2 linked regions of the Caenorhabditis elegans genome follow. The protein of the gene in region 2 interacts with the protein of the main gene of each other region in a pairwise test. Each region holds a gene or a part of one and is shown on either strand. Other genes may lie near its edges.

Region 1 (9,767 bases), on a different chromosome or scaffold from region 2:
TTCCCGTCTTTGCTGTCATGATCCAAATCGGTGATCAACATTATTGAGTATTCTTTTGCTCCATCATCAAACTTCTTTACCGAATACAAGTTAGCATGGTTGATGTGCTGTAAATGGATATGTGCGCAATCAGCTGAAAATGTAAAGAGTTACCTCTTCCTGTTCGCTAGATTTGTTGAATTGGGTACCCGAATAAAAGGCAATAGCGGTCACAAACCCGAAAAGAAGGAAGTTGAAAAAGTTTGAGTTACTTTCTTGTGTCATACCTAAAAATTATTTTTGTGAGTCTTAATTATAAGCATTAATTGAAAGTAAGAGATTTGAGAAAATATAAGTAGAATAAAAAAATAAAAAATGGTGTAGTTTTCCGAGAGTACTTCACGGCCGCGTGGCCTAGTTTTTTCAATGGGGACTCGATATTAATAACGAACACAAGTGCGTGTCCCAAATTGCATTTGCTTTATTGAGTGAGATATCGTGGCTGTGAAGTGGCAAAATATTTCGAGAACCGTTAATTAAACAATTTTATACATTTTTAAATAATGAATTCAAAATGATGCAAAATAAATTTAAAAAAACGTACAACTTCTAGAACAACGAACAATTGAGCTGTCTCGCTATCATCATCTTATCATTTTTGCTATCAAAAAATCGGTTGTGGGTTGTCGTAACACATCACAGAAGAAAGATTGATTGTGAGAGAGCCGGACAACATTTGTGCTAGCGGTCAATGTCTTTCCCGCTTAACATGGTCCCAATTGTACGATTGACCAGGAATCGATATTTCAGGGAAAGAAGAAAATACCAACAAGACATGACGAGAACAGTATTTATAGAGTGTGTCTGAGTGCGTTGGAAACACACGATTTTTGTGCTTTGTAGTCAATTGTAGTTTATGTTGAACACAAAACGAGTTTCTGCTGCTGACCGTCTTTATAACGAGCGTCTTAAAAATGTGAGGAAAAGACAAAATGACAAGAAATGAGAAAACGATAACACTAAAGAAAAACGTTGATTTAGTTGAAAGAAAGAAATATGAGTTATATGAAAGAACCATATCGAATATACATTTTGAAGGACAAATATTGTTAAAGCTAGCCGATGTTGAAATATATATATATTTTACAAGATCTGGATAGATTTAAATACTAAATTAGAAAAATTTTAAATACTCAGGGGTTGCTCAGAATCGCGGAGTCACGTATCCGCTTGTTCTTGGGAATAAATAGTAGCTTCTGGAATCAGTGTACCCAACTCCTTCCCTTCCCATCATATAACGAGATGCTCGAGGATTGAAGTACTTCTCTCCACGATGACTGTACATGTGATATGCAAGACCACGACTGTCAGAGTAGCTTTTCGAACAATATTCACAAATGTATGGTTTTGAACGAACGTCGTTGTACACTCGGAGTGGATGCTTCGGCTCGTATCCTTCAGTAACGAAAGCTGGCTGTGGAAGATCTTGCTCGGAGACCGGTAGGACTCGCTTCTTGCTTACTTTTATTGTGGTTGTCTGAAGTATTTCAAATTATATTGGTAATCTTCATTCTTCTCACAAATGTATTCCTTGTTAAAGTAAAAAAACGGTTTCGGCTTTTTTTCCGTGTGATTTTTAACAAAACCAAACGAACGAAATTTGAAATACTACTTCTCAAAAATTACTTAAAAACTTGTTTATGGGGGTTCAAAATTTTGAAAAGGCAATACCCAAATTTCAGTCAAAAACTCGAGTTGTTTCAATTTTTCCCAGTCACAAAGACTTAGGTAGCAAATTGTGGTAATTTTTGGTCCCTAATTGCTTGAAACGTATCTTCATTAACAAAACAACGTAAGGTAAACGACCAAAACATGTTTTTAAATTTGGAACTTTCTTCGGTTTCATAACTTCTGTTTCATAACGTTTTCTTTTTTTTGCACTGAAATTCCATCTGTTTAACAGTTGTGATGCAAGAAGTAAGTGCAGTCGTATCAAATTGCACCCTCTCACAGGCTATCAGCAATTTTTTTTTGTTGAGAAAAATATTTTTTTTACGTCAGAAAGCCAAGACACACAAAGTTTTTGTTCACAATTTTCTCACATCAAGGACTATGAAAACCAAATACAAAATTGAAAAGCGAATGGCTGGATGAAAAGGTTTTGATAGATTTTGAGTCGAAAGAACTGAAGAATAAAAAATCAAACATTAAAACAGCCATAGCTAGATTCTGTTGATTTTTTTCCGAGAAGTTCGTAATTCAGATTTTGTTTCAAAAAGCTCTACTGATTAGTAAAATCTAGTAAATTTATTATTTCTCAGATTTCTCAATTAGACAAACCTCTGGAGCACCTATCAATTCGAGTGGATCGTCCGTGTGCTTGTGATATAACATTTCCGTGTAAGAAAAGAACGTCCTTCCGCATTCACACTTGTACCCGTCAATTTCTGAGTGCTGAGCGGCATGATATTCCAGTTGGCAAGCAAATTCAAATGAGTCTCCGCATTTTCCACAGACATATGGCTGAAACAAAGAGTTTCTATAAGTAATCCAGCGAATGAAAACCTGTGAAACGTCATGTATTCTCTCGTGTGCACGGAGAGTGTTCATGAAGTTGAATGTGAGTCCGCAGAAACGACACTTGTAGAATACAAATCCGTTGTCATCTTTTTGCACACTAGTTCCGTCCTGACGCACTTCCTGCAATAATCACTTTTCATCGACTAAAAGAGTCTCTTTTTCATTTAACGCCTTCTTCATTCCCTCCCTTCTTCAGTTTTTCCTTCATCTTATATTTTTCTTCCTTTTATTCCCATTTCCCTCATTCTTTCACATTCAAGCTGTCAATGCTCACATCTATATTCCGCACATTTGGTTCGTGTGCTGAAAGTGAGCGCATCAACTTCAACAACAACAGCAAAATGTTTATTCACAAACAAGAGTAAGTCAACAATACCCATGTGAATTAGCTTGGGAAAGGAGAAGAATGGAAATGGATAGGTTGAAGGAAAAAAGCATAAGGAGCAGCAAGAAATTATATTCCAAGTTAGTATTTGAAAATGATAAGAGAAAAATAAAATCACAAACAACAAAAATCATAATTTGTTTTTTTTTCTTCTTAGCATCCTGCTGAGCTTTCTCTTCCAACAAATGTACAGGACATGGTTACTTCGACAATGGGCTAAATTTAAATTAAATTAGAACTGAGTTTGTCTTTGTGTATTCTGGCAAATAAGTTTTTACTAGTATGCTAATTATAAAATTAGAAAATAAAACCTTTTCTAAACTATCTAAAATTCAGCAAAAAATTAACAATTTCTCTCAAACAACTCAAAAAATATAGTTTCATTTTCTCCGGAAATTTTGCCTGTACAAACCTATAGACTACATTCCTAATCAATGTTTTTTTAATTAAAAATTATTCAAAGCACGAACTATTCAACAAAAAATGCACAAAAACACACACTTCATAAAAACAATAAAACAAACCTGTTGATCACTGCCATCCAAAGCACCGCCACTCGATTTTGTTGGAGTTTGAGCACTTGAACTTCCGACCTACAATAATTTACTTGATGCTTTTAAAATCAAATTAGGATGGCGCTGTTTTAAAGTATTTAAGCGTTTTCAGACACTATTCAGATAATTCAACATTTTTTCACTTGTATCCAAGGGTTGAAAAATGTCAGTATGAATCCAATCTTAAAAACATTTAAAAAAATTTGCCTTAAAACCTATCAAACATTTCAATCTCTGAAATTCTTTTTTTTAAATTTTACCAAACTCACATATGCTTCAACTGTTGGGGCAACAACTTTCATGATCTCTTTGGGCTTTTCCTTATTTCCATTTTCTGACGATTCTCCATTGATGCCGAAGGTTTCTAGACCATGAACCATCTGGAAGGTATTTTTTTAATCATTTCGCAATACAGACACCCCCGCGTTTTTCTCCGGTTTTTCCGTCATCTCTCGGTTTCTCTAACTCACTTCATTGTTCTTCACGGACATCTTGGCAAGATCACAGGCATTCATCAACTCTTCGAAGTCATCTCTTTCCTTTCTTGCCTAAAAAATTCAAATTTAAGTAAAGCTCACAGTGATCAAGAACAATACCTCTTTGAAGATGTCGTCATCCATTGTTGTATCTGGATATCAGCGGTTAGTCGTCGGAATGGGGGTGAAAATTGTCAGAGGGTAGAATGCTCGGTGTGGCTAGCTGGGGTGCTCAACACACAGTGTAAACTCAAGAGACTCGTCGCGATCGAAAAATGCGAGAAATCGCCTCTGCAATCTCTGGATCTGATGTGCTCTTTTGAAATGCTCCCGCTCTCTCATTTCCTTTCCTCGTTGGATGTTTTGCGGGACACTTCTGTGTCTGCAGTCTCCCTCAATCTTGCTCAACTGTCTTAAAGAAGAAAGAGATCTTGACGACACAAGTAAAAAAAGCGTCTAGATTGCAGTGCTCGACATAACTTCAAAGCGGAATCATGTTTCTGAAATGAATGGCACAGATGCTAGTGTTTGTGGGTGACATACATTTTGTGTAGTACGTTGAACACGTGCAAATGATTTGGAGATGTGGGTACAAACAAAAGAAAGAGTACTTTTTTTTTGAAATAATAATCGAAAAGGATCAACGAAGTTTATATTTTAGAAATTATTCAATATGAATTGTAAAAATATTAAATTACATACTGTAAAACTATTATTTGAAACTATGCAGGATTATGAAGCTATTGTTTTAAATGTGAAGCATCGGTCAGGGTGATTTTTTGTAATCACTCCTTTATACAGTGATAAATAATCTAAAATAATTTTGCTTTCAAAAAGGTAGTTATCATTCAGTTTTCACAAATCACAATCTTGGAACACGGCAAAAATAGTTTTTTCTACATACAAGTTTCATATTCTAACTATGATTTGATCATTTGTATATACATATATTGTAGACATTTAAAAAAATGCAGAATTGCTCTAATATTTTTCATAGGTTCAACTTATTCTAGTTGTGGCAATTTACCACAACTTTGAATGAAAATTCTCAAGAATCTAAACGGTTATGTGGGACTTTTATGACTTTTAATTGGAATAAACATTTTACTGGAGCTGCACCACCTTCTGGATTGATCGGATCTTTCTTTCATGCATCACAAGCGGGCTAAAAGTGCACCAATGTTGAAATTTTACACAACAAAAATGCATTTAATTGTTAAATTTTTAACAAGTATAAAGTAACCAGACCCTTTTTCATTAAAAAACAGTTTTCCGTATTTCCTCTATTAGTCTTGCAGCCTCTATTAGTCTTGCAGTCTCTAATAGTCTTGCATCCCTCTTTTTTCAAGACCAGTAGTACTTTGCGGAAACGTCAGCAAATTTGATATTTTTGAGAAAATAACCTAGAAAATGATCAAATAATTTATGAAATATTGCAAAAGTATATATTTTTATCGTTCAGCAAGCTATCGAGTTAAGTTTTCAACAAAAAATAGGTCATTTTTTCAAAGATGGGGCATTCGAAAACTAGTCTTGCAGCCTCTAATAGTCTTGCAACCCTACAGACCAATGGAAAATTAGTCTTGCATGCAAGACTAATAGAAGAAATACGGTATATGAAACAGTCTCACTACTCGGGCTAAATATAAAGTTTTAAAAGAGAACAAGCGACTCACTACGAAATTTGTTTTTTTTTTCCAGCACATTTTGAGTCAATACGTTTATACCACGAACCAATAGCCCTACTTTATAAAATCCTCTCTTGTCAGAAAAGCCGGACCTCCTAGATTTCCATACTTACTGTGTACTTGTGGCCTCACAAAAACTTCTTACATAAGTATCTTCCCTTATGGAACAGTAAAACTACATTATTACCGGTTAAACGTTCCCGCCCCGCCTTCGCAGCGTTTATTAGCTTTTTACCCCTTGATAAATTTCAAGGGGTAAAAAGCTAATAAACGAATAAATAAAAATTTAAAAAAACTGGTACATTTTAAAACGTTTTTATAGGATCAAATTATTGGTTCTTTTTTTAATACTACATTCGTTTTTAGTGTCAAATATTAATTTCATTTTGTGGGCAGAGGAACATTTTGAATATGAATTTAGAACAACGCACCATGTCTATATTTCCGGTTTCTTCGCGTTTATTATCAGAGAATTACCTGAAATCCATCACACTCGATATAAAATGCCTTAATTCATAACTTTTAAATTCAAATGACAAATTCTATCTATTTTTATTACCAAGTAACAGTCAACATATTTTGTCTAGTCCGTCAATGAAAACATTCCAACTTTCCGTCTCAAGTTGATGAATAACTATGAAAATGATTTTTTTAAAATCACCTTTATCGTTTTCCAATCCGAAAATTAAACTTTCAATCCGAATTCCATCTTTTCCAATAAACGTGCATTACCGCAGTGGTGGCCGCTATCAAATGCTATGAAATCAGAGTAGTTCCAGAGTCCAGAGTCTCATTTTTCATTCTTTTCTCTTCTTCTCATAAACAACTAATTTCTCTCCCAGCAAACCACCCTAACATTTTCTGTAATGGTTCCTCTTGACTTTTGCTCTTAATGCACTACACCGACTCGGCACGTCATATTTTCATGGTAGAGAGAAACATGAAAAAATGAACACGAAGAATGACCTTTTTGTATAGTGATTCTTTGAGTTGTATCTTTATCAGTTGGCCTCAATTCTTTCGTGTCAAAGAGAAGAAAGTGTGGACAGATTGAGGGGAAAATGAGATAAGAGAACGTTTGGCAAGCAATAATGGATGGGTCAATGAAACCTCTAAGAGTACAGATCTATTGCGTCAATTATGGCATGAATCAAATCACCTCACTAACTTTCGTTTTTTACCTTTGTACCGTTGGGTTTGGAGTTGTAATGGGTGTTCAAGAATCCTAACACTAGGAGCAAAACTTCTATCAGAAAAGTTGTGTAATAAAAATTTATCTTGCCGTTTTTTTTCAATTAAACTTTTGAGCAGTTGGGGTCAACCAACGGAATCTTATATATTTGAAGAAACTTTGGTGGCTCTGCAATAAAATAATTTACAAGGTGAAGTATGTGTTGTTATGATTAATAGTGTTTTCCAAACGTTATCAATGTATTTATCATTGGTATATCACATCCATTCTTTGAAATCTATGATCACTTAAAATAGTTTTTCAAAAATTTTCTTTGACGCGTATTGTTGATAACAACAATGACAGTACCACTTTGGCAAACAAGACTAATGAGATAAATACTATATACCTATGTAAATAAATAAAGTTTATCCAAAATTATCGTTCATAACAAGTGCTTTTTAAGATGTGGAATTTAAGTTTAGTTTTAATCTGACAATTTGTGTTTTTTTATAAGTTTTTAGAAATGCAAATGAAACTGCTATCATAATTTTGACTTATCAATTAAAAAAACTTTGACGTAACAATTAAAAGGCACACGTTGTTTTTGGGTCTCGCCACGATCTTATTCATAATGACCGCGTCAGGTGCCAAATTCTACAGACTTGTTAAAAGTGAAGTAGCACCACTAGGGAAGTTGTTAAAACTACTTATAAGGTGTCAGTTTAATCCAATATCAAAGTAAAATTTTCAAAAAGTTGTTGAAAAGTTGTTATTTTGTTTTAAAATGATCTTTACTAATTTCTTGCCACTGTTTTGGTAGTCTTCGATCAAACAATTTTACATTGGTATTTTATAGTCTACTAAGTAAGTAAGTAAGTAAGTACTTATGTTTCAACATTAATTTCAAATACAAATATTAATATTCCCCCATTGTAGGGATTCGAACATGCGGCAGTCTATAGTTTTCTCAAAAAAAAGCAATATCAGTAACTCTCAATAAACCTTTTGTATATTTTTTCGAAAGGTTTCACTATGAAATTTTGTAATTTTTGCACAATTGAAGTGTTTTTTTAAGAATGTCCCTACTGGTGATACTCCACTGTTAACTGGATGTAGAAAAATGTTTATAAAACTTCCAATATCTAAAAGGCACCAGAAAGCCAAAATTTATATTTTCTGGCAAGAATAGACACAAACATTTCAATTCCTTAGACCTTCTCATAATTTCTTTAATGACTCATCTGTGACTTTCTTTTCTAATCGCGCATTCAAATCTTCTTCTTCATCTTTACCACCTCTCTCTCTCTCTCTCTCTCTCTTTGGCCCATCATTTCCCGTGGCCTCCATTTTTTTGTGCGTGGTGTCATTCGACCACACAAACAAACACAACGAATGTAGTAGTATAACCTGGTGGCTCATTGCCCAGATGGCTGTTCGCCGCGTGTTGCGCTCTGTTCGGCTGCCCTTCTGCTTGGTTTTTGTCGTCTTCTCAAGTTGTTTTGTTTTTTTTTCTTCTTTTCTCTGTGTCTCTCTGCTTCTTATCCTTACAGCGTCTTAATTATACGCTTTTTCGGAAGATGCTAAAAAACAAAAAATATAAATGCTAACATTTTTTCTTTAGTTGCCTGGGTCCCATCACTAGTTCTGTTTGCCCATGTGTCACATATTTTTTTTGCCATTTTCTCTTGTGTGTTGCGAAACTCGAAACAAACAACAAAGAATTAATGCATTAGCTGAGACATTTTTTTCCATTTATTGTTGTAGTTTTAGAGTTAAAATTATGCGTATAATGTTCACGTCAGATTTTAGATTTTCAAAGAGTTTGTCAACTCAAAAAAAAGTTTCAAAACTTAAAAAAAGCCTTTGTTAAGAAAAACTATTTTTCTGTGAAAACATCGCTTAAAAAGGGAACTCAAAAAAGCAAAAAAGCAATGTGCCACGTTCATCTTTTATGTTTCTTTTTCCGCTCCGTCCAGCGTCTTTTTTCCCCCCATTCGCCTTCTCCATCGACCCTTTCTAACACCGCTTCTTCCCTTATTTTCACTAGTTCTCTAATTCGAAAATTTTTGCACGCACTCTCCATTGGCACGTTTTGCGTGGCTTCAACTCACAGAATTTTAAATTTGTGACATCACTTCTTTAAAAATTTGCCCACGTGGCGTTGCACACTTTGTCAGGCTCGGCTTAGGTCGATTGTGAAACTTTGGAAGTAGAAAATGGTGCGATTTCTCTGAATCGCACGATAACCGAAGACTTTCGCCCTTGAGGCGTTGCGCTTATCAATTTTTTTTACGCCTTTTGATAAGTAGAACACACGTACTTCGCAATTTCGTGTGCTTCTCCAAATGAGAAAATAAAAAACCATGTCTACTCCCCCTTGTTTTCTAGTCTACACAAACTTTTGTGTTTCTATTTTGTTATTCGCTTCAAAATTAAATTCCTAACAAGTTTCATATTTAACCGTTGATCGTTCAGAAAGATGCCACAACGAAAGAGAACAATGGACTCACCACAAGAAGAAGATGTGGAGGTGAAGAAGAAGGCGACGGAAGTGGAGTACGTTGTCAGGTCGTTGGCATCAGATGAGCCAGCTCCATTTTCCGACGAGGCGTTGGCGATTACGACAAGAGAAGCGGTGGATTATTCAAAGAAAATAACTTTGGCAATGGCAGAAGCTAATGAGGGTGAGAATTTTTAATTTGAAAATATTATATTGGAATATACTTGAAATTTCTAATAGTAAAAAGGAAAATTAGCCATTTGCGAAAATTTGCGAGTTATAACTAGAAAATACCGTCTACGTTCTCGAAACATTTGAATATTAGAAAAAAAAGAGTGTGTGCACTTAAAGAGTACAGAAGTTGCCACGACTCTCTATTACTCAGTTTTTCTTCGTTTTTTCTCTTTATTTGCTTCAAAAATATCTGTAGC
Region 2 (12,001 bases):
ACACAATTTTTTGTTACAGATCGATTCTTGTTAAAAAAAACTGGGGAATTTGGCAGAAATAATCGGAATAATGGTGATGGAAATGTGTATCGTCAATCCATCTTTAGCATTACATCATCCTTCTTGCAAAATTACGTGCGTACACAACAAATATATACGTGACATGTTGAACCTTGTACCTCCCATGTTATGGTTGAGATCTTGAGCTCATTGCAAAAGTTTAACGATGCTGATTGAGAATTATTTTGAGAACTTCCAAGAATACCTGGTTATTAGCCAAATTCTACATTAAAATTCGAGATTCTTGAAGAATTACTAAAGTAAAAATGTTTCCAAAACTCATGGAATATGAAACGTAATTGCAAATTTGAAAAGAAATTTTTGAAAAATAATAATGCATTTACCTTTTTTAAGATATTTTTATATTGATCATTTCATAATTTTTAAACAATACTTGAAATTGAGTTCTATTTGGTCTTTTGTTCAATGATTAATCTATTAAATGCACCGGGCCAAATAGAATTATTTACGCAATTAGTTTATTTCTGTTTTTCTGAACATCGAGAGTAACCGAATTGAAATGTAGCTTTCTCAATTATTACAAAATAATTGAATAATGTGCTCTATGGGAACAATGTGCTATAAACAATAAACAATTTATAAAATTGATTCTGAAATTGTTTTACAATCTATAAAAAGTGTCTATAAAAATAAGAATTCCTAGAAAATATGATATTGAGTTCACTTTTAATTTAAAATGTATATTCAATTATTGCTATTTTTCAAGTACTAATCAAAATGTTATATTTCAGTGTTTTTCAGTTTCCAGACTCCATACACTTTCCGGTATTCTTAGAACAATTTTTTTTGAAAGTAGTCAAGCGGGTTATTATCGTGAACTTTGAAAATACATCTTATTTATTTTTTACACCATTTTGAAGCTTTCAAAATATGGAACCAATTCAAAAATGCTTCAGAGCGAATTTCACAATAAAAAGAAATTACCTTCTTCATGAAAAATGACATTTTGGATTTTTGGCATAATTTCCAAAAATTATCTTATTCTACTGAAATTACCAAATATCACAGCTCTCACGGGCGCTTCTCTAACTTTAAAGTCTATTCGGATGTGATTCCATCTGGAATAATTTCAGACTTGGAGCAATAATGTTTGAAATAAAATATTTTTTAATTTGTTTTTAACATTTTTTATTGTTGTGAAACGGGGGTGTTTTGTGGCCCGAATGATAAAAACTGATTGGATAAAACAACAAAAATTATCATCTAGGCGAAACTTTGAATATTAAAATTGAAGAGAAGTAGGAAAGTAATGGGATATGAGAAGAAAACAGCGCATACCACAATTTCTACCGTATCCTGGTTGCGATTGCATCATCTCATCTGCAGGTAGCGATCTCGTCAAGACTTTGATTTTATTGTTTTACTTTGAAATTTCAGGCTTAATTTGTATCAAAATTTTTATTGACGACGATTTCTTATGCAACCAGGGACTCGGGATGGTTTGGATGGAACATTGAATAAATTTGTATTAAAAATTGATGGGAAAACATGAATTGTGGGTGGGAAATGATGTCGCTCGATTGACCTAATTGTTCGAAATATTGATTGGGGGACAGTCAGTCAGAAGCACGAGGGGCAGTGGGACAGAACAAAAAGATAGTCGAGAAGATTTAGTGATGGAAGAACGATAGAAAAAGCGGATGGGCGCATTTGTTGGGGAGAGAAATAATTGAAAATTTAAAAAGAAAGAGAAGAAGAACATGAAAGAAATAGAGAAGAAAAATAAAACAATTATACACATCTTATTAGCAATTTATTTGATGATTTGATGTATGGCGACGCTTTTTGGGATGTTTAATAATCGTCTTCCGTGACGAAAATCTGCAAGAAAAAACAAACGAAAAATGTGAAAAACAAGTGACGTAAAATAATTAAGGTGTTGGGAACAAATTTTTTTAAAGATAAAATGATAAGTAGTAGTTGCTCAGGATTTCTGTTTTCCGACACAGACAAAAACAATTCTTGAAATTTTCTTATTGAAATTAGAACCATTTTTGATTAAAGTATTTGTCTATTCTAACTATGAGCGTTTAACATAAAATCTAAAGTATTGACAAATCAAAGTATTTTCAACAAAAAAAGAAAATTAAAATACCTTGGAGGATGACTTTCCGGTGACAACAGATGAACGATGCTTGGCACGGATGAGGTGAAGGCTGGACTCGGCTTGATCGGCACGGCCCTCAGCATCCTCGAGCTCGTGTTGGTATCTGCGGACTCTCTGGAGGTTTTGCATTGTTACGGACTCGGACTCAGCAAGTTGTCTCTTCTGGATGTTGAGCTTCTCGGTAAGACGATCAGCGGTGTCTTGAGCCATAACGAAGTTCTTGTGCTCTTCATCAACGAGTTGTTGAACCTCCTTGATGCGGCGATCCTTCTTTCTCAAGGCATTCTGGGTCTCCTTGTGTCTTCTGGTTTCCTCATCAAGAGCGGTCTCAAGATCACGGATTCTGGTCTCCAACTTGGCGATGACTCTCTTTCCTCCGAGAAGAGCGGCAGCCTCAGCTTCTTGAATTTGAACTTGGAGTTGCTTGACTTGCTCCTCAAGAGACTTTCTCAAGGCATCGATTTTCATCGAGTGTTCTTGTTCCTCATGAAGTTGTTCAACGGCACGGGCAGCATCAGCAAGAGCACGGTTGGCGCGCTCATCAGCGGCGTGGAGTTCCTTGGTGACCTCATCCAAATCAGCTTGAGCGGTGGAGAGCTCAGTCTCGAGTTTGTTCTTGATGGAGGTGAGGTTGTTGTTGATGGAGATAAGGTCGGAGATACGTCCATTGGCTTCCTCGAGGTCAACCTCGGCTTGCTTACGGGCGCGGATAGCGTTGTCGAGAGCGGTCTTGCATTCCTCGAGTTCAGCAGAGAGAGCGGCGACCTAAACATATATAAAAATGAATTAAGAGACCACAAAAATGATAACTCACCTTGCGTTGAGCGAGGGCATATTGGTCCAAAACTTGTTGCAACTGACGTTGAGTATCCTCCAATGAGGCTTGGAGAATCTTGAGTTGCTCCGATTGCTTTTTGATGGTCTTCTGGGCTTCGATGTTAGCTCTGTAATTTATGAATTTAAGGGTTGAATGTTGAAAAAATTAGTATTTACCTGTTAAGGTTATCAACAGTCATCTCGAGCTCAGCGATCTCAGCCTGGTACTTCTTCTTCAGTCTAGAGATCTCGGACTTCATGCGGGCCTCGGCATCAGCCAAAGCGGCAATAAGTCTGTCGATTTCGAATTGAAGGTTCTTGCGAAGAGCCTCCATCTCTTCTTCCTTCTCTTGGAGACGACGTTCCATTTCGATGCGAAGAGCCTGGAGCTCAGCAAGGGCACGTTGAGCGCGGTTTTCGGCGTCACGGCGTTGAGCATCAGCCTCCTTGAGGGCAGTCTGGAGCTCACGGATTTCTCCGGCAAGACGGGCGTTCTCGAGGTCGAGCTCGTGGAGCTTGCGGTTGGCGTCGGCAAGAGCCTCCTTGGCTTCGTGAAGTTCGTCGTGGAGCTTCTTGTTCTCGCGAGCAAGAGCCTCCTTCTGTTCGACAGCCTTCTCGTACAAATGCTTCATCTTCTGGAGCTCAGCATTGACGGCACGGAGTTCGCGTTGAGCAGCTTCGAGTTCAACAGTGATCTCATCGATACGGACCTTGAGTTCTCCAACTTGTCTCTCGAGTTGTTCTCTGGCACGCTCCAAGAGAGCAATGGTGTTCTGGGCCTTCTCAAGATCAACGATAAGAACCTCGACCTCAGATTGAAGACGAGACTTGGCCTTCTCGAGTTGAGAAATCTTCTGGAGCATGATCTCGATTTGCTCTTCATACTCAGCTTGCTTCTGGAGCATCTTCTTGCGGAGATCCTCAACTTCTTCGTGGTGAAGGGCGACCTCAGCATCGAACTTGCTCTTCCACTGGGTGATCTCAGTGTTGGCAAGGTTGAGCTTGTGCTCAGCATCGGAACGGGCAATCGACTCCTCATCGAGAGCGGTGCGGACCGAGTCGAGCTCGAGCTGAACCTGGTGGAGTTGAGATTGAAGTTGGGAGCGCTCCTGAAATTTCAACGTTCTTTGATCTTCGCACGTTTATGCTTTTTTAATGTCCAGAAATGCGTCAGAGGAAGAAACCCGATATTTCCGCCTCTGAATTTGGCACTTTGGACTAGTAGACTTACGCGCTCGGCATCCTCAAGACGACGTCTGGCCTCCTCGAGCTGTTGAGCGAGGGTGTACTTGACGTGTTGAAGGTTATCGAGTTGAACCTTCTGGTCGTGAACCTCCTGAAAAACATTAACGATCCCTGATCTGCTAACAGAACACACTGAACGAGACAAAAAAACGATGAGGCTCACAGAGCATCCTCCTTTCTAATATCTCGAGTACTCTATTTGCACACACACTCTGCGGAAATAGTAGCGATAAAATAGAGAATTTAGTAAAGAAACCCCCTGTTAAAAGGGGTTTCTTTTTTTCTTTTTACCGCATTTTTTTGCTAAAAAAAAGTAGAAAGATGAGCAGAGTGATCGGTGGCACGTGATAAAGATGATAAAACTAGAGATTATACACATGATACTTCAAAAAACAAACCTTGAGAAGATCATTGTTCTCAGCTTGAAGGCGTTGACGTTGTTGGGCGAGGTCATTGACGTGCTTGTTCAAGTCCTCGACCTTGTTGGCAAGTTCGTTGGCTTGGGCTTCGAAGCGCTCAGCGGCCTTCTCAGCGGTGTGTTTGTCCTTCTGGAGCTGGTCGATAGTGGCGGTCAACTCGATGACTTCGTGTTGGACGCGTTGGCGTTCGCGGTCGATCCTGAATGATGATGATATTGCGTGGGATGGGAGGATATTTGGAATTTAACAAAAAGTCAAGCAGCGGCGAACAAGTAATTCTTGATGTGTCAACAATATGTTTGGCTATGAATGATGTCAGAAAGCAGCCGGTTTGGACAGGTGAAACTATTGATAGTGGGTGGAAAAGTATAAACTAATTTTGGATTTAAAAACATTACGTCAAGAGTTGCACACAATTATTTTCATGGGAAAGTTGAACTCGAAGATTTTTGAACGCAAGAAGGGAACAACTAAAACTTATTTTACAACTGAATAGATCATCTATGTACATTGTTTAAAAGATTAACATAGATTCTAGAAATGTGTTTTAAATTACGGAAGATTTTCCTTGATTTCATTGAAAGTTATTTGAGCAAAAAAAAGAGACATCATAAAATGAATCCATCGTAATTTAAATGGGAAAAATACAGTATTTTTCCTATTAATATACAGGATTTCTCACGCATTTTTGTTGTTGAAATGTGTTCATAAATGAAAAATAACCGAGATATGAGCTGTAAAACTAGAGGATAGGAGGTGCAAGACTAGGCTAGCAACCCCTTGTTATGAAACAAATAATGTTTGATCCTTACTACATTTTTAAATATTCTATAATATGTTCATGCATTCGTCATTCAAGTTCTCAAGCTGTCCCCTTCCCGTTCATCTCAACTTCTCATCCCAACTTAATCTCATTATTTTTTACCACCACCACTGTTTCACGGGAACGCAGATTGCTCGCCAAGCATCAAGATCAATGAGAGAAATGTGAGAGATATTGAGAAGATCAGTAAGACGCAGACATTCTTGTATCTCTCTCATCTCTTCCTGGAAGGCGAAACAAACACACACACACGAGAAACGTTTGTTATTTTACACACTTTGAGCTGATGCTTCTTCATCTTCTTATACTTCTTCTTCAGAGCTTCTGCCGAGCCGCCAACTCCTCCGCTGCCATTTCAACGCGGGAAGATAGAAGAAGAAGAAGAAGAAAATGAAGGCACAAGTACTAATACGAAAAAAAACTTAGAAAATAAAGATAATAACTTACTTGGCATTTTTCTTTTGGAGTTGCTCGATCTGATCTTGGTAGTCGAGGCAGGAATCCTAAAATTTCACGAATTCTTTAAGCTATAGCATAAAGATTACTGTACCTGGTGCTTTTTGCGGAGAACATTCATGGCATCTTCGGATTCAAGTTGAGACTCCTCGAGGAGCTTGCGAAGCTTTGAGAGTTCTCCCTCACGTTTGCGGTTCGATTCGATCTGTAATTATAATGTTTAAAGGTATAAGATGTTTCTTTAAATTGAAATTCATAAAAACTGGAAACTCACTTGGCTGTCGGTGGTTCCCTCGGCATCCTCGAGTCTGTCAGTCAAAGCAATAACTTGAACGGAGAGATCGGCACGCTCACGTTCAACCTGAAAATGGCAATCATGGTATCAGAGATAAAAGGTAAAAACTCACTCTGTTGCGGAGTTCGCGCTCTGATTCCAAATCCTCTTGGAGAAGACGGATCTTGTCCTGAAAAGTGAAACTGTATTAATTTGTAAAATCTTTGAAGAATTAATTGTTTCAAGAACTGATTCAGATAAAAAAAGTATGGATTCCGATTCTGATTGAACTTCTTGATGAACCTTATTACACGGACCTATAAATTTAGTGCCGAGTGGGGAATATTTTTAAAGTACTGTGAAGATAAACATCCTGACGTCACAAATTTAAATGTCCCGGAATTTCTTGAGATCAAACGACAAGAATACACTCGTAGCATACAATTCGATATTACCATTTAGTTTTTTTTTTGAATTGATATCTAAGCTTAACAAATAATGCATTAGGTTTCTTCGAAATTTTACAACACAGTGTGGGAGATTATAAGAGAAACGTGAAAATAGCTTATAGATATGAGAGACGTAGAGTGCATTTTTTGGAAATAGACCAGCGAATGATTTGGTAATTGTTTTTATTTTAATTGACAAAATGTTTTTGCAGGCAATTGGCAATAATCGCAAATTCAGTAGCTAGAACCATGAGAAAATATGGGGTCAAAAAATAATTGTTTTTTCAAAGAAAAAAAGCGTAATTTTTGTTTTTTATAAGTGCTATATTTGAAAATCTGAGAATTAGGGTTCTACTTTTTCTTGGAAATATATGTAAGCAAGCAGTAAGTTAAACAAAGGTTGCAAATCTTAGTTACACAAAGAAACTAGTTGCCGAGATGAATGATGAACAGATTTTTCAAAATGAAGATTTAGAATAAGGAATCTAAAGGTTTAATTATAGAGAAAACTAGGAAGTTTAAAAATTTTTCTGAAAATAGTGTTTTGGCTCGGAATATTGTTTTATTCCATACATTTTGATGCAGAAAAATAATATTTACAAAACTGAAAACGCCGTTATTTGTCAATCATTCAATTTAGGGACAAAACAAACATTTTTCTTGAGACTGAGGAGTACTGTAAAACTACAATTTGAGATTTTTCAAGTTTTTCAATTCTTCGTTGCTATATTAGATGCCTTTTTTACTAAAATTTAAATTACAGATATAATTCAAAATATCAGTCAATGAAACATCGATTCGATGAAAAATGGAACACGGGTTTTGGGGTTTTGGCAGTGAAATGTTCAGAAATGGTAGAAAACATTCAAAAATTTACCTCGAGTCTGGTGAGTGATCCAAGATCGGCGACGGACATGCTGCCAAATGGAGCACCGAACGCTGCTTGCGACGGGCTCTTAAGAAGAGCAGCGGATGGCGAACGATACAATGACATGATCAAATGGAGTATTCAAATGGATGGTGCCCCTGTGTGTGCTGCTGGCTGGCTGGCTGCTTCGAGACTGACTGATTGTGCGTTGGGGCTCTGCCGTCGGGAAGACACATACACACATATCTCATCCCGCGCCGTTGCGTCGTCGATCGTCTCTCTGTCTCCAAGTATCTCTCATCATCAACTTCTACGAAGGTAGTGTGCCCGGCAGGGAGCGAGAGAGGAGCCTCAGTGTAATCCTTCTTGCCTAGCACTGAGCCACCCTCCCACTCTACGCTGCGTATCTGATAAATGCCATTGTGTTTTTGCCAACGAGTTGGCGGGATACGATCTCGAGAAGAGCGCGCCGAGAGCCGAAGCGCAGACGATGCATCAGGCACCCGCGGGCCAGGAGGTTTTAAACATTCGAATGATATTGGTTTGGTTCGGGTTGAGGCGACACGGAAGAAATTCAGCAAAAAGGGATGAGCACAGACAAAAAACATCGGGATCCACCAAAAACTTCAACTCGTGTTTGTGTGTGCCTTTTGAATGTCCGAAAGGGCAGGTGTGAACTTTGACGAACGGATAGTAAAACGAAGACCACTTAAGAAAAAAGAAACACAAAACCAGAAAAAGCGAGACTGAACTGCCATTAATCGAATGCCATTCCACCTATCAGTAATCAACTCTTACTTTATTCAGGCTCTTCAAGCCTGGGTTGTCTCCAATTTTCATTAAAGTTTCTCAGAACTATACTGTTACCTTTTAGATGATCCATTTTCATAAATTTATAAAAGTCTTCTATTAATGGTAATACGTCTATACAGTCGAAATATTGAAGAATTCCAAAACTCGGTTGTCAACTATTTGAAATTCCTTAATTACAGATAGTTATGCTCTCTTCTTGTCCATATCTATTAATACACTTCCTTAATTGATAGCCTTGTCATATATGATCTGATCAATGTTTTAAAAAGTTCTTGGATCTCATATTCTGAAGAAATAAGTGCGAAGTGTGTAATAATTGAGTGTATCCCGGAGAATGTGTGTGTGTGTGCGTGTGTGAGGGGGTGGGGGAGCGTATCACAACAAATTGTGATGAAATCAAGTTTTTATTACTTCTATAATAACTTGGTATTCAATTTCCAATATATCGGCTCTTCCGAATGTTTTTTCATTAATGAAAAATAGGCTTGATAAACTGATTTTCAAACTGAAATTGTGTCATGACGTCAAAAAATCAACGTTTTCACTCCAAATCCCGTTACTTCTTGTGACTCATGTCATTTTTAAATAAGTGTTGTGAAATTTCAAAATCTTTTCTAAATTTTCAGAATTTTACTTCCATTACGACTGATCAACCAGACAACAAAATACTCTTGTTGAGCAGTGTCAGCTGACAAATCGTGATGACCGAGATAATTAGTTGGTTGCAGAAGCAGGGGATGGTGAAATGTACTGACATTCGTTTGAACTTAATTTCAGATTTGATTATAAAGAAAAAATCTTGAACATTGTAAGTTGATGTTTATTGATTGCAAAAACTAGGATGGTTTTACCCCGCTAACAACTTTCTGAGGAAATATCGATTGTCGCACATTTCCATTCCAAAACGTGACAAAAACTTATAAAATGTAATAGAAAACGGTAGACCATTTATATTTAACTTTTACAAAGAGTGGACATACCTTTGAATAGTTTTTGTTAGACTTTAGTAAGGCCAGATTTTGGTTAAACCTTGCATACGATTTCCACAAGATTTCTAGCAGTGCTGCCGCTTGTTAAAATTATTTTTAACATAACTTCGAGAATATATGCTAATAATGCTGTAAGTTTTCTCTCAAGATAGAAACTTGGAACTACTGGATTTATCATTTTGTAGACAACTATCCAAAACAAAGGTAGATCAAAGCATTTTAATTTGTTGATATCTTCCAGATTTATGCAGTGAAACATGTTAAAGTGAAATATACTTGTAGACCGTATTTCATTTTATCTTTTTTGTTTTTAGCACTATTCCTTTTATTAGGAGAAGATCTAAAAACAACATTTTTTAAAGATATTTGCATATTTTTAAGTTATGCAATTTTGATTAATAGCTATATATTTGTCACCTTTCCATCTTTTGTCCATCCATTTTTTTCGTGATCATTACAAAGAATCTCTTCAATAGAATTCCCTCCAGAAGCCGCCCATTCTCTCTCATCGGTCTCCACTGCCATCTCAATATCTTTTTTTGCCACCGTACACTCTCTGAACTCTTCAGTGACAAGCCCACATCTCACACTCTTCTTCTACTACACATGCTTCTCTATCACATTTCTTTTTGTGCCTTCGTTGAAATGGCAGAAGGGTCCGGGAGCACAGAGGATCTTTCTCTCTGTGCTACTCGAGGAGCAAGAATGAAGAAGCATTTTTCGGCCCCGCATTATTGTTTTAAAGTATTGGCAACTGGGAGGAAAAGAGATATAGATACTCAGCAAAGGAGGACGATAATGAAAAATTTCAGCCGAAACATGAGATCAATCTTCAAAAGAATATTAGAGGGAACATGTCAAAATGTTCAGATTTTAGAAAAAAAAAATTTGTTTGAAAAAAATTTTAAAAATTTCGGAATTGAGTATTTGAAGATAGTTTCGAAATCATTTGAAAGTTACTGTTCTGATATTATACAAATATCTAAAATAATTCGAAAGCACCGAGAGGAGCTTATGTGGTTTTGCTATGATTTTTTGTTTCATGTTATCAAATGTTTACAGCTGAAAATAATAAAATCAATACTGTTTAGCTTGAAGAAATTTTATTGCAATAAAATTCATCACATTCCAGAAAAATTTAAGTTGATTAGAATCGAGCACGACGACGGACGACAGCGCTTCCACTGTATGTTCCTGTGGCTCCATCTCCAGCTCCAGCTCCTGCATCCGGTGCACCACCGGCAGCTCCAGAGCTTGCATCCGCACCTGTAGCAGCACCTGCTGGAGCTTCTTGGGCCAATCCTGCTGTTCTTGGTGGGCATGGACAATAGGCGGCGTCGACTCCTGGTGCTCCATCTGTTCCTGGCCCTCCTGGCGCTCCTGGAGCTCCTGCTTCTCCGTCTTTTCCTGGTGGGCCCGGTGGCCCCGGTGGTCCTGGTGGGGATTCTGGAGCAGCAGCGTCTTCTCCAGCTGGTCCAGCTGGTCCTGGAGGTCCAGCCGGTCCAGGAGATCCCGGTTCGTTGGTACTTGTAGTTCCTGCGGCTCCTGGTTGTCCATTTGGTCCTGGTGCTCCTGGCTGCCCATCTGGCCCCGGTGGTCCGGCTGGTCCTGCTGGTCCAGCTTCTCCTGGTCCAGCAGCATCTCCATCAGCTCCAGGAGCTCCTGATGGTCCTTCTGGTCCAGCATTTCCATCTGGTCCCGGTGGCCCTGGTGGTCCAGCAGGACATTTGATACAGTTACCTTCGACTCCAAGGAAACTATCAGCAACTCCTGCAGCTCCATTCTCTCCATCAGTTCCAGCGGTTCCAGGCTCTCCAGGCGCTCCATCTTCTCCTGGTGCTCCTGGTGGTCCTGCTGGACAACCAGTTGATTGAGCAGCACAGTTACATTCTCTTTCTGTACCTCCGCCGGTTGCATATCCAGCAGCTCTCTTTGCAAGAATATATCTTCCAAATGATGGAGACGTTGCTTGATTCTGAGGAAGATTTTCTCGAACCATTTTATTCCAAACATCATTGGCTCGAGATTTGAAATGAACCATTTCGCTGTTGATATTCATTTCAAATTGTTGAATATCAAGAGAAATTGAGTAAAGAGTCAGCAATGATGCGACAACGATCAACGAGCAGCCGATCGTCGACGAAAGAATAAAATAATAGGATGTACTGTGGGACATTGGATACCAAATGAGTGATGTTTTCTTCCATTTCCACTTACTTATATATGAATTATTTTTGTACTGATCCAATCGGTTTCTTGTTCCGATATTCATCTTTTATTACAACACAACCGTTTGATATCTAGTTTTATGTTTTACTATTCATTTACTATGAGAATAAAAAAGTTTCTGCAGTACTGTAGGAAACTATACCGGCAGAATAATGCTTCCAGAACTAATTTTTTCTAATTGAGGTTCCGTGGAAAAATATCGTTTTAGCAATTGAGATAACTAAAATTTTTCGAGAGACTTAAAAAAAAGAAAATTTTCATATTTATGCATGAATTGAAAACGTGAATTTTTCTTATTTAATTTTAATAAGATTCCACGGGCGAATATTTTGTTTAATAAATATGAAGTTTCTGAATTCATATTTGCCATTGCTAAGTTTTGAGCAACTCGACGTTCGTATTTTTCTTGTTTCTCGGTTGAAAAAGTGAGTT

What was found.
Region 1: the proteins of unc-15 (region 2) and unc-98 interact in a two-hybrid assay, tested with the Caenorhabditis elegans proteins (one study listed by BioGRID).

Annotation. Positions count from the first base shown.
Region 1 is NC_003284.9:7,569,457-7,579,223, forward strand, and holds unc-98 (Zinc finger protein unc-98), read right to left. Parts: upstream 4,134-9,767; 5' UTR 4,119-4,133; coding exon 4,095-4,118; intron 4,047-4,094; coding exon 3,969-4,046; intron 3,879-3,968; coding exon 3,768-3,878; intron 3,538-3,767; coding exon 3,469-3,537; intron 2,921-3,468; coding exon of another isoform or gene 2,901-2,920; intron 2,680-2,900; coding exon 2,545-2,679; intron 2,503-2,544; coding exon 2,320-2,502; intron 1,517-2,319; coding exon 1,184-1,516; 3' UTR 918-1,183; downstream 1-917. Other genes in the region: Apyrase apy-1, read right to left, coding at 1-107, 154-264; pcyt-1 (Putative choline-phosphate cytidylyltransferase), read left to right, coding at 2,901-2,920, 9,312-9,520. UniProt on the Caenorhabditis elegans protein: Probable transcription factor required for muscle structure.
Region 2 is NC_003279.8:7,375,420-7,387,420, forward strand, and holds unc-15 (Paramyosin), read right to left. Parts: upstream 7,779-12,001; 5' UTR 7,665-7,778; coding exon 7,548-7,664; intron 6,412-7,547; coding exon 6,355-6,411; intron 6,309-6,354; coding exon 6,222-6,308; intron 6,153-6,221; coding exon 6,042-6,152; intron 5,995-6,041; coding exon 5,939-5,994; intron 4,868-5,938; coding exon 4,648-4,867; intron 4,341-4,647; coding exon 4,236-4,340; intron 4,114-4,235; coding exon 3,182-4,113; intron 3,133-3,181; coding exon 3,003-3,132; intron 2,954-3,002; coding exon 2,177-2,953; intron 1,903-2,176; coding exon 1,876-1,902; 3' UTR 1,468-1,875; intron 1,403-1,467; 3' UTR 1,185-1,402; downstream 1-1,184. Other genes in the region: col-35 (Nematode cuticle collagen N-terminal domain-containing protein), read right to left, coding at 10,488-11,516. UniProt on the Caenorhabditis elegans protein: Structural component of the muscle thick filaments which is involved in assembly and organization of sarcomere myofilaments. Involved in ovulation.